3 linked regions of the Rattus norvegicus genome follow. The protein of the gene in region 3 interacts with the protein of the main gene of each other region in a biochemical or structural test. Links are inferred from orthologs where the notes say so. Each region holds a gene or a part of one and is shown on either strand. Other genes may lie near its edges. The genes, in order: Epn1, Grb2 and Reps2.

What was found.
Region 1: the proteins of Reps2 (region 3) and Epn1 form a complex in vitro, tested with the Homo sapiens proteins (3 studies listed by BioGRID and IntAct, with this or other methods). The link is inferred for Rattus norvegicus from reciprocal best matches to the Homo sapiens genes REPS2 and EPN1.
Region 2: the proteins of Reps2 (region 3) and Grb2 form a complex in vitro, tested with the Homo sapiens proteins (2 studies listed by BioGRID and IntAct, with this or other methods). The link is inferred for Rattus norvegicus from reciprocal best matches to the Homo sapiens genes REPS2 and GRB2.

Annotation. Positions count from the first base shown.
Region 1 is NC_086019.1:77,775,677-77,779,618, forward strand, and holds part of Epn1 (epsin-1), read right to left. Parts: intron 1,578-3,942; coding exon 1,453-1,577; intron 1,133-1,452; coding exon 1,058-1,132; intron 497-1,057; coding exon 413-496; intron 1-412. UniProt on the Homo sapiens protein: Binds to membranes enriched in phosphatidylinositol 4,5-bisphosphate (PtdIns(4,5)P2). Modifies membrane curvature and facilitates the formation of clathrin-coated invaginations. Regulates receptor-mediated endocytosis.
Region 2 is NC_086028.1:101,385,487-101,389,428, forward strand, and holds part of Grb2 (growth factor receptor-bound protein 2), read right to left. Parts: intron 2,599-3,942; coding exon 2,476-2,598; intron 1-2,475. UniProt on the Homo sapiens protein: Non-enzymatic adapter protein that plays a pivotal role in precisely regulated signaling cascades from cell surface receptors to cellular responses, including signaling transduction and gene expression.
Region 3 is NC_086039.1:35,679,670-35,684,382, reverse strand, and holds the start of Reps2 (RALBP1 associated Eps domain containing 2), read right to left. Parts: upstream 3,121-4,713; 5' UTR 2,977-3,120; coding exon 2,743-2,976; intron 1-2,742. UniProt on the Homo sapiens protein: Involved in ligand-dependent receptor mediated endocytosis of the EGF and insulin receptors as part of the Ral signaling pathway. By controlling growth factor receptors endocytosis may regulate cell survival.

The sequences.
Region 1 (3,942 bases), on a different chromosome or scaffold from region 3:
GGCCCAGGTGCTCAGCCAGGGTCCTGACAGAAAGATCTGAAAGGCTGCCTGGCCTCAGCCTATCTGCACACTGAACCATGAGAAAGCAAGTGTGCACTGCATGCCCAAGAATCTAGCAGGGCCTACCAAGGTCAGCTGTGAGCACAAGAGTGACAGACCAACTATTCTCTGCCTTGGTCAGGGAAGACTCAGGCAAGGACCACCAACCCTTAGTGTCTAGCAGAGGCAGGGTCTGTGGAAGGCATCTGGCGAACAGCATGGGCAGATGAGCCCGAGTCCTGCTGCAGCTAGCCAGGCTGCTGCTAGGTTCTGGGCCCTGTGACTTAGCACTCAGTCTACATGGAAGCCCCTCTGACCACAGGTGGCATGGCAGGAGCGAGTGAGCCAGAGGACAGAACACACAGGCGCTCACCTCCTCCTTGCCCCCAGTCTCCCTCTTGCTCTCCTCTATTGCCATCTGCAGCCTCAGGTCATCCCCACGACGGATCCGCTCTTCCTATGGAGAGCAGAAGCAGCCAGACAGGTAGGGTCAGAACACGGGCCATGGGAGGGCAGCTGGCCCAGCCCAAAAGCCCCCATCCCAACCACCCTCTCTCCCACTCTGAAAACGAAAATAAAATAATTAAAATGGAATGTGGACAATGTATGGAATGGGGATGGGAATGTGACACCTGGGTCAAAGGTGGGGCAGGAGGCAGTGGACTGTGGTCTGGAGGGAAGGGGACTGACTGTGTGCAGGGTGCTATGAAAGGAATGGCTAAAGCTGGTTGTGAAAACAGCTTAGGAAGCTGGGAAGCAGTGGGACTGAGGAAGAGGAGGAGGCCCTTTCATCTTGGCCTACTGCTGAGGTGCTACTAGTGACACTTAGACTCCCAGACAGCTACAGCAGACCTATCCAATGTCCTGGCATCCACCCTGGCTAAAGACGCTGAACTGGAAGTGAGTAAAATACACCTGTACTCAGGGGAGGCAGTCAGGAAGGGGCAAGGAGTAAGGACCCACGGACCTGAGCAAGGTGTAAGGAAAGCCCTAGGAGGGGAGGGGAGGCCACTCTGACCTTATCGTGCTCCTCTCGGCTCAAACTAAGGGCCAGCTGGAGCTGGACGTCATCCTCGGGGCCGCAGGACGGGGGCTGGTGGAGAGAAAGTATGAGGGACAAGGCAGGGGAAGCCAGAGCCAGAGTAACAGGCAGAGAGGCCAAAAGGGGGCACAGGGCCAGGCTGGGCGGGATCAGGCAAGGAGACACTGGTCCTCCCAAATCTGTAAAGCTGGGCAGAGAAAGGAAGAAGCTGTGTGCCTGACTGTCAAAGCGCAGGTCGGCTTCCCAGGAGGGAAAAGCTAAGATGGAGGGAGCCGCAGACCAGAGAGAGACAGCAGGAGGCTGAGGCAGGAGAGGCATGAGGACAGGATGGCAGAACAGAGACCAGCCCTCTCCCCCACCGTGCCCCGTACCTGGTCAGCCTCCTCCTTGCTCATAGCCAGGGCCAGCTGGAGCTGCAACTCCTCCTCCCCGCTGCTCTGTGGCCATGCCTGCTCCGCCTCGGGAGGTGGTCCAGAGCCCACAGCTGCTGAGGAAGCTGGAAACAGGAAGACATTAAGACACAGGTGGACTAAAGACCAAAAGATGAGAACCCACAGCCAGAGGTGGGCTGCAGCCCAAATCCCAGCACGGCTCCCCTTCCCCCGAAAAAGGCCTCGGAGGGCCAAACTGCGAGAAAAAGTTATGGAGCCAGAGTCCAGGGAGGGGCAAAGGCCAGCCCCACCCTCAGAACTGCAAGCTACTGATAAGGGAAGACCAGGGTCTGAAGGAAAACCACAGGTTTGGGCCTCCAGAGGGACCCTCCCAGGTTTCCCAGGCTAGGAGATCTCCCAACAGAGCAGTCAAGGGCCCCTGTTTTTAGGCAGAATTGAAGCCCTGGCAGGGACAGCTGGAATTTAAGAGGGAGGCAATGTCTGTCCAGACTGTGGAGACCAACGAGGTGAGCATGAGCCTCTGGCATCAGCAGGGCGTGGAGACGGGGAAGGCCACATTAAGGTCAAGAGCCTGGCTCCAGGGCCAGCAGAAGGTGGGAGAGAGGCTGATGGTGTGCTCCCGAGGAGGCTCGAGACCAGTTCCTACAGTCTGCCTCTTCTCATCACCTCCTTCAGTCCTGGCACCATGCCCTGCTGTCTGCAGGCTCCATCCATAGTGGCTCCTGATCCCCTGACGGAGGCCAGGTCTCTAACCACTGCTCCAGCAGTGATCCAGAGAAGATCCACACTCTAAGAAGCTGTCTGCTCCTGCCCCCAAATCCCTTTTACCTAAGATGGATCCTGGAACATCCTCAGGAGACACAACCCACACCCCACTGGCAAACCTACACTGTGCAAACCTTAAGGCCCCACTTCAGACCTCATAAGGAAATGGGCAGCAACCAACAACACAAGAACTTCCACCCCAACCACCCAGCTTCACGCTCCCTGTGGCTTCCAACCCTTTGCAACCCTCCCCAACTCCTGTGGAAACCTTCCTCTCTCCAAGCACTTTGCTCTGAGACATGGGTCAGGCGAACATGGCCCATGGCCAAAACTGGTACTTTAAATGGTTGAGAAAGAAAATGAAAGAACATGTCAAGACATACAAAAATTGTAAAGAAATTCCAATTTAACCCAGGCAGTGATGGCACACACCTTTAATCCCAGCACTCAGGAGACAGAGGCAGGCAGATCTCTGAGTTTGAGTCCAGCCTGGTCTACAGAATGAGTTCCAGAACAGCCAAGGCTATACAAGAGAAACCCTGTTTCAAAAAAGGAAAAAACAAGCAGCAACAACAACAACAAAATCAATTCCAATTTCAGAGCCCATGACGGGAGCATGGGAAGCATGTGACCCATGCTTATCTGTGTGTGGAGCAGGTGATGTATGTGCCTCGGGCTCCTGGGTCAACAAAGCTCAAGGCACTCAAATATCTGGCCTCTCTGGAGCTTGGCCATGTCTAACAACTAAGAAACCCTCCTCAGAGAAACTAGGAAGATGGCCTACTGGTTTAACACACTTGCTGCCCAAGCATGAAAGCCAGAGTTAAGATCCCCAGGACACACCTAAATATGAGGTAGACTGAACAGTTAGTTCACTAGTAATTCCAGCCTAGGGAGACACAGACTGGCCAGAGCAAGCTGGCTCAAGGCTTGACTTGGTGAGCTCAGGATTTGACTAAGACCGTGCATCAAAAAGAACAATGTGTAAAGCAATCAACGCTGGGCCACCGTACACGTGGCTGCAAGTGCACAGCCATTTGTTCACACGCACACCGCATACACACATGTGCATGCATACCACACGCTTTCCACGAAGCCAACCAGGCCATGTTCCTTGCTACGGACATCCCTCCTCGGCCCAGCCCAATCCTGTATTAGAGCTTCCACTCTTCCCCTGGTGGGTCACTCCTGGACGCCCCCAGGTTCCTCCCCTCTACTATGTTCCCTGCTTTAAGCTCCACCTGAGCACTTCCCACAGTGTCCTCATATCTCTGACCCAAACTTGATGCATCAGACGGAAGGCCTCCCATTAGAACCAAGGTCACAGACTTTTGGTTCCATCTGCCCTGGAGGGTCCAATCCCGCTCACCCCCAGCACTGACTCGCCATCCCCACAACCACTTGCAAACTCAGTGCTCCCAACTGTCCTCCTATAATCTCCCTATCTAACACTCTTCCCACTCTCCCTGCCAAGCCAAGGTCCCTCTGCATGAAAAAATGAAACCCCTATATAATCCAGGAAGGACCCCCGCACCTGCCACTGAACATGCTACTAGACAGATCACACAGACTTAAGACATGAGACGCACTCTCTCTTTATGCCACTTTCATTTCTTTTTAAATGCTCATCAGCACCCACCAATCTTGAATTCACCATTTACAACATTCTATGACTTCAAAAAGTAGACTCACAGGCCGTCCTGT
Region 2 (3,942 bases), on a different chromosome or scaffold from region 3:
AAAGTTTATTTTCACTGAAACAATCACAACAATATGCCATCATAAAAGTTATCTACAGTCCAGGAGTTATTGCTGGAATTTCCAGCTGGCCTGTGGTAACTGATGGAGGAAAGCAAGCCTGAAGTGGCTGTCCACTTCCTCATGTCTCCACTGAGAAGCAATGGAGGTGGTTTCAAAAGGACTGTGGCTCAGAATCCAAAGGTCCTTCCTGTCTGGCTCCAAAGGCCCAAGGGCCTTTTGTGATGCACCTGCTTCCGGAGTGCAGGGTCACTCCTACCACGACCTTCCCGCCAGGCTCTGCAGACCTGGAAACCAGTGTACTAGCTTAGTTAAGTCTGGTGCTGATCGAAGGACCTGTGTAGGTGCTTCACTAAAGGCAGTAGGTAGTTCATGCTATCCTTGTGTGCGTGTGTGGGTATGGGTATGAATGCATGTGCATGTATGTGGAAACCTAACGTCAATGCTGGATGTCTGCAGTATGTCTCTCACTGGACCTGGAGCTCACTGATTACACTAGGCTGGCCGGCCGCAGCTCCAGGGATCTCCTCTCTCTATAACTTCTGCACTGTGGATCCTCACTCAGGTCCTCTTGTCTGCGTGGTAGTTACCAACTGAGTCATCCACCCCGGACATTTTATTCCTAAAGTGATGGCTTACTAACATCTTTAAATGTTTTCTGTTTAACTTTAAAAACCACATTTTCTAGATATGCATGTGTGGTAGGCACAGGCACGGTCAGAGGGACTCCTGAGACTCAAAACACAGGTCACCTGGCTAGATAACAAGTGCCTTTACCCACTGAGCCATGTCATCAGCCAGGGTCTCAGTTAGCTCAGGCTGATTTTGAGCTCACTATGTAGCCAAGGATGACCCAGAATGTATAATCCTCCTGCTTCAAGCTCCTAAGTGCTGAGACTACACTCAGTTGTTGGCAGTGCTTGTGCTAGAGATGGAACCTAGGACTCACTGTGCTAATCAGGCATTTCTATCTCTGCCCTGGGTCTCCATCCCTGCAAGGCTGTCTTTCATGGACGGCATAGCTGGCCTTCCTGCAGGTGCTCGGGTAGAGGTGGTGGTGCTGAACACAGGCCGGTCTCCAGCCCAGCACTGCCCAGGGGCCTGGCCACTCCCGACTGTCTAATCATTGTCTCCCCTTCCTGAGCTGTTTTACTGCTACTTGGAGCAGTTCAGGCAAAGGAAAGACATACAAGCTACTGAGAAGTCTAAAAATGCTAATTCTACAAACCAAGACTCTGTATGACCCTTACTTACATGTGTTTAATCAAAAATGTAAAAAAAAAAAAACCCCAAACCTAGTTATAAGAAGAAACTGTTATCATACTCAGTTGAAAAAAAAAAGTTTGAGGCAAGCCTGGTCTATAGATAAAAGTTCCAGGACAGCCAGGACTACACAGAGAAAAATCCTGTCTTACAAAGCAAAACAGAAAAGTATGCAAACCTTCTGAGGTATCAAAGCTCACCCAAAGCTCTCACCTCTGCATTCAGACACAGAACACAGCTTGGTTCTGGTGCCCAGAGCTTAAGGCCTGTCATTCCTTTCCATGACAGGGAAGTGAAGGCACAGGACTCGGAGTTCAAGGCTGGTCTGAAGGAGTGCACTCCTTCACTCATTAATCGTGGTGCTAGTGATAGAAGCCAGGGCCTTCAATGTACTACAGTGAGCTCTACATTGAGACCCTGGTTGGTGTATTTAAAAGACAAAAAAAGCCAGGACTAGTGGGGTGACTCAGTGAGGCCTTCTGCTCAGACCCGACAAGGTGGGGTTTAAACCTCAGACCCCACAAGACAGCAGAGAAAGCAAGCAGACTCCTGACAGTCTGTCCTCCTCTTCCCTGGCTCGGAGTCAAAGACACTGGGCTCCCTCACCTCGTTACAGATTAATAATGAGGAGGAGGGAACAGCTGGCCATGCCTGTAAGCCCAGTACTCAGGAGACTGAGACAGGCGAACTGCCATCCATTTGACGAGTTTCTGCTACCCAGCAAGTTCCTGGACAGCCTGGGGTGCAGAGAAGAGTCTGTGACTGAAGAGTTTTGGGGTAGGCTTCTGCAGTGACACAGTAACTAGAAGGGGAGGATCGGTCAGATGTCTAACTCTGGCTGGCTTGGAAGTCACAGAGATCCAGCTGTCTTTGCTTCTCACGTGCTAGCTTAGAGGCCAACTCCTGTTTGGATTTTTGAGAGGACACCCACTAGGCTCATGGAAACCAAGTGTCGGGTCCAGGTGAGCAGTGAAGGCAGGCGGGATGAGAAGTGGTGCAGATTAAACTGGCCCTGGGTGCTGTCAGTTCCCATAGGTTCATGACACTGCAAACCTAAAGCTCGGATCTGCTACAACTAGGTTAGAGCAAACACTAGGATGTCCACAGGAAAAGACAGGTTAACATCTTCCCAGCAGCCTTACAATCCAGTCAATGGCTGCAGCTTCTCTGGCAGCTCCAGCAGGAAATACTTACTTGACTGACAGGGAGAAATCCCCAGGAGCGCTCTCGCTCTCTCGGATCAGGAAGGCCCCGTCATGCCGCTGTTTGCTAAGCATTTCTTCTGCCTTTGCTCTGGGGATTTTGCCAAAAAACCACCTAAGGAAGGAAGGCAAGCCAGTCAACATCTGCCTCCCCACAGAGAACTGGGTGGGATGCACAACCTGGCATGTACATGGGGACACTTCTGTCGGAGAGAAGGAGGGAGGGCAGAGCAGGGCAGAGCATTACCTGCTGGCCTCTTGCCTAAGGCTCTGGGGCTACTGTTTGGCTCAGGGCCTTCCTGAGTGACAGAGCTTTCAAACAGCTTCACCCACTCCACTCTACAGATCATGATTCAAGGCAGCAACAAGGGCCACTCTTCAGGCTACAAGGAGACCACTCCTAACATGCAGTCTGAAAGCCAGTGCCCAAGGCCAAAGCTGCCCTGCCTCTCCCTCACTCATCAGGTGGTACCTAGGGAAGCCCAGATACCCAGGATAAGGGCAGAGGGGAAGACAGGCCCTTGGAAGCCATTTCATCATAACAGGAGTGCAGGGCTGGCTGGCTGACATCTGACTTGGAGGTGTGGAGTCTGCGACAGCACAGAGGGAAGCTGGACTGTGAGGAAGTAGACTCTAGGTTGTGGTTGTGGTGTCCCTTTATTCCCAGCACCCAGGAGGCAGACAAAGGCTCTGTGGTTCGAAGTCAGCCTCGTCTACATAGTTTCAGGACAGCCAGAGCTACACAGTGAGACTGTCCTACCTTACCTCATGGATCTGAAATCCTTTCATATGCACATGATAACCCCAACAGTACCAGACCGTCTGCCTATCAGTGACAAATCATTATTTCATTATGGCTATCATGCACAGCTGTGTCCCACCATGCCTGGTTTTATGTGGTGCTGGGTGCTAAACTGCAGGTCACTTACTATGAAACCTGTGTGTCATCTGCCGGGCACGCACGACGCGCACTACAGCACAGCCACTGTGGCTGGTTTCATTGGACCCAAGTGCATCGCTAGGTGGCTGACGGTCAGTGTATAACTGTCCTCTTCCTCTCCAAACAAAGGAGGTGGGGGAGGGCTGGCCTCGTTGCCTGGAGGCACCACACTAAGCACCGTGTGCATTATTAGACCGTGTGGCAGATCCAGAGTGGGAAGTGCAGAAACAATCAGAAGAGGTGGCCTTCACAGCAGTGTGACCTGGAGAAAGGCTCCTGAGTGTTCAACTTCCTTCTGTAGAGCTCAAAGTGGGAATGGAGCCCACCGACTGCCCTTCAGCCAGCCTCAAATAACCCAGCTGACCATGCCGAGCTTCCTGCCTGCTTACTTGCTGAGAGCCAGGAAGGGTCCGACCCTGGGGCCTCACTCAAGCTGCTTCCGTGCTCTAGCACTAAGCTAACACCCCCAGGCCTTTCCAATTGCCCAGGCTAGCCCCAAACAACAGTACTTCTGCCTCA
Region 3 (4,713 bases):
TGGCTCAGTGGTTAAGACACTTGCGGCTCTTTAGAGACCCAGAGTTCAATCCCCACCATCCACATGGCAGTTCACAACTGTTTGTAACTGCAGATCCCAGGGAATCCCATGCCCTTTTTTGACCTTGGTGGATACCAAGCACATGCAGGAAAAACTCTTAAATGTATAAATAATAAATAAATATAAAGTAAAATAAGCCTACTTCTCATGGCCAGGATGTGATTCTTTGCTTTAATCCATTATCTGACAATCAGATATTACTGAATTTTCCCATTTAATGGCTTCTCCTGATAATATAGATTAAACAATATTTTATAACCAATCTTGATGTCTAAGAATGGTCTATCATTGGATCTCTGTGAGTTAATAGATAATAATAATCATTTTAAGACAAAGTCTCATTTACCCAGACTGGCCTCAAATTAGCTATGTTGCTGAGGATAACCTTGAACTTGTGGCCCCTCTGCCTCTACCTCCAGAGTGCTGAGATTATAGGTACGTGCCACCATGTCCGATTTGCGGCAGTGATGGGGACTGAATCTAGTCTTTCATGCATGTTAGGCAAGCACTCTAGCAACAGAGCTAAATCCCCAGCCCTCCAGTACAGTCATCTCAATCGTATGCTTATTACGAGGAAAATCTGGCTGTTAACCATAGAAACTATCAGGTCTGGTTACTGTCTCCGGGATTTGAGCAGTTATACCTGTTGGGCCACTTAAATCTGAACTTTCAGGTTTCGGTTTAGAAGGGAAAGGGGGAAATTTTCTACATTTGTTTTAAAATAGCCAATACACTAATGAGCTAAAACAAATTAAGTCAGACAGAGCATACACACACCACCAAAGTGGTGGATAAAAGTTAGATGTCCAATAGATCCCATCTTTCATTACCCTTCCCAGTTCCCGCTGGGTGACTTTAAATGTTAATTGTTACCTGTACCAAAAGTCATTCTAATTGGTTACATGAAAGGGACTGTGTTTTATTTCTCTGGGCTGAGTAAGGGAACATAAATCTCAGACTCACAATAAGCAATCTAGGAATAGCCCCTTTTGGTAGCATCTGAAGTGGTATTTTGCACACAGTTTTCCCCTCTAAGTCTCTGTACCTTAGGTTCTTTTTAAATTATATGTTCTTCAAGAAAGCATTGGTTATCACACAGGAAAGCCCCCTCGCCAATTCCTGCAGAAACCTCAACCAATTTTCATATGCCCCTTTCTCTTATCACACTTGATGTATTACCGACCACAAATTAATCCTGGCCAGATGTACAGTGCAATTATTTGGTGCATTGCCTCGAACACTTTAGTGAATTTATTATGCTCGGCAGTATCCTGAGGTCCTGGTAATAGCTAGTTTGTTTCAGAACACCAACTCCTTATCATCACCCTGTGCAACTCAACTGCTTAGCAACTGTGGCAGAACTATCTCCTTATCACAGAATCCCACAGGAACAAACAACCATGCTAAATTCTATGAATACTAATCATGTTCAGAAATTCTCAATTCGAAAAGGTGAACCAAGTGGCTAAAATTATGCTCACAAACAAACGAGCATCAATGTCATGCACCAGCAGTATAGAACAGTCTTGAGTGCCAGAGAGAGAGAAAGAAAGAAAGAGAGAGAGAGAGAGAGAGAGAGAGAGAGAGAGAAAGAAAGAAAGAAAGAAAGAAAGAAAGAAAGAAAAGAGTGAGCCTCACAAAGGCAAAGAAAGATATGGCAAGTGAACCATAAAACCCTCAGTACTCCTTAGGAACTACATTTTAAAGCCTTTGCTCACCACTGTAAAAATTCAGTTTTCGTTAATAACTTTCACACTATTGCTTTTTAAGTAGAGGTTCATATTTAGGGCTTGATATTAACAATATTATCCCCATTTGCTGCTGGTAACATCAAATGACAGACAAAGGTTTACCAAGCAACCTTTGTCCAAGCTTCAAGGAAAGCACAAAACAAAAACAGCACCTGCTGTGAATCATTCCTTCCTCCTTTCCAGGTATGGGGCAGACAGAAAGAAGCTATGACACCCTTTGTTTCGTAACTCCATGCCAAAGTCAAGTGACAATAAGATGGGAAACTACAGCTATAGACTTCTAAATCCACCCCTGGACCCAAATAGGGAACTTACTTTGGACTTGACCAATGTTCTTGTCTTGTAGCCCTGAGTCCCTGTTCTACAACTGGGCACTAAGGTTTTCCACTTCTATACTAATAATCAGAAATACGTTAGTGAACAAATATATGTAGCAGATATGTACATATCACAAGTATTAAAAAGGGAGGACAACATGTAGCTGTAGGCCCAGAGCCTACAGGCACACATGTACACACCCTTCAAGTTCAAATCCCAGTAAGGCACCCCGAGAGTGTAGTCAACAAAGGGAGGGGCAGGAGCAAGGAACAGAGGTTAAAGCAGACAGCAGCCAAAACAAACATCACTTCCAGAACAGGGCAAACTTTGGGTCTGGGAGACTGTAGAACCCCCAGAAATGATAGGGGTGTCAAGACTTTCTCAAGGGACGAAGAGCACACCCAAGCACCGGGCTAGAAGGAGAGGAGCTGCAGAGGAGGCTGGTGTCCCTGGGGACAAGGGCGTCGCCGCCATCCTCGGCTGCAGAGCCCCCCCTCTTTTTGCCGTCCTGGCCGCCGCCCTCCAGATCCCCGGGAATAGTCGTTGTTGCTCCATTCTTCCCATAGACACGTCCACACAGACCCGTGAGGGATAAAAGAGCGCAGAGGCATACCTGGTGCAATGTCTCCGGTGGCAGCTGCGACGCTCGAAACAGATCGGCTACCGGACCAGCGGCCGCAGTGAGAATGCCAGGGGCGACCCTGGTAGCCTCGAGGGGGCCAGGTCCGGGGCCCCCGCTTGCAGCGCCTGCACAGCGCGCGAAGAGCTCAGAGTAGCACTGCTGCTCGCTATCGCTCAGCAGCAACGGCGGCCCCGCACCGCCGCCTCCGCCCGCCGCCACCTCCATAGGGCCTTCTGTAGAGTCCGGGCTGAGCGCCTTCCCTGGCCAAGGTGCTCGTGCCTCCGCCAGGGCCACCACCACCGCCTCGGCCTCCGAAGCCGCCGCCCCCACGCCCCGCAGCTGCAGCGCTGCCGCTTCCTCCAAGCGCACGCCGGCCCCGCCCCCCCGGGCTTGAATGTTGTGCCTCCGCTGCGCGGCACATGGAGACAGGCGCGGCACTGACCAATCACAGCCCAGAATCCCACCTGGGCCCCTCCCTTAAAGCCCGCCCCGCTCCGCCCTTTTGCCAGGTAAGGAACACAACTCCGCCCGCCGCCCTCCCAAGCCTTTCACCTGCTCTGCAGTCGAGGCCGGGCGGGGAGAGCAGCTGCCAACGCCCTCCAAGCCCACGCTGTTCACGAGGGGCATCTTGAGATCTCCATCCTGACTGGCAGGGGAACATCTGTACACACACAAGAAAAACAGCGCTTTTCAAGGGATGGGGAAAACTGAGATGTCTCATTAGAAGTCCCAAGCGGATGAGGAGTCCAATTAGAAAAGGAATCAGGCAAGAAAAGTTGGATTTTCCTTCTTCTAAAACTGTAAGGCCTATGTCCTGAAAAGCTAAAAAAGCGGAATTCTTATGAACGGGGTCCCAGCACCACCCCAGAGATGATGGAGTTAGGTCACTTTCTCAGGTATGGCTGTGATCTGGATTTGAGCCTTACTGAGAAGTATCAGAAGGTACCTATAAGTCCTAAAGGAAAGAAGTGGAAAAATGCGTTTTTGGGTTTTGTTTGTTTTTCAGAGGTGAGGTGCATTCTGTGCCAGTGCTCTATTGAAATCTGAGAAACGGTGGGAGACACTATCTGGAAAATTTATGCTTCTTAAGAACTGAAAATATTGGCCTCTGTAACAGTGTCCTTGATTTCTAGAAGGATTTTTTTATTTTTATTTTTTTATTAACTTGAGTATTTCTTATTTACATTTCGAGTGTTATTCCCTTTCCAAGTTTCTGGGCCAACATCCCCCTAACCCCACCCCCTCCCCTTCTTTATGGGTGTTCCCCTCCCCATCCTCCCCCCATTGCCGCCCTCCCCCCAACAATCACGTTCACTGGGGGTTCAGTCTTAGCAGGACCAAGGGCTTCCCCTTCCACTGGTGATCTTACTAGGATATTCATTGCTACCTATGAGGTCAGAGTCCAGGGACAGTCCATGTATATATAGTCTTTAGGTAGTGGCTTAGTCCCTGGTTATTTTTATTTTTTAGACAAGGCCCTTTGTTCTAAAAACACTTCTTTTGGCAGGAAAACAAGCAGCTTTTTAAAATTTTGTCCAAAATTTGTCCAAGTTCCTACCAAAAAAGTCAACACTAGATCTCAGAACTTTAAAAACCGTGTGTGTGTGTGTGTGTGTGTGTGTGTGTGTGTGTGTGTGTGTTCAAATGGGCTTCTTCCTTGATGGCTATTGCTCTAGCCAAACCTCCTATGTGGAAAGAAAGTCTATGCTAAGTGTGGTGGCTCAGGTTTGTAACCTTAACACTAGGAGTCTGGGGCAGGAGAAGCACTGAAATTTTGAATCTACTCTAGCTACACAGTGAATTCCAAGCTAGCCTGCAAAAAGAAAAACAAAGTCCACAAAATAATACACTAGAAGAAAAAAATCTGCCTCACAACAACATTGAAAATGGCAGTGTAAGTCTTATATATTTACATTTTTTCCAAAAGGAAAATCTGGTTTTATTTGTTAAGACAGGGTCTCT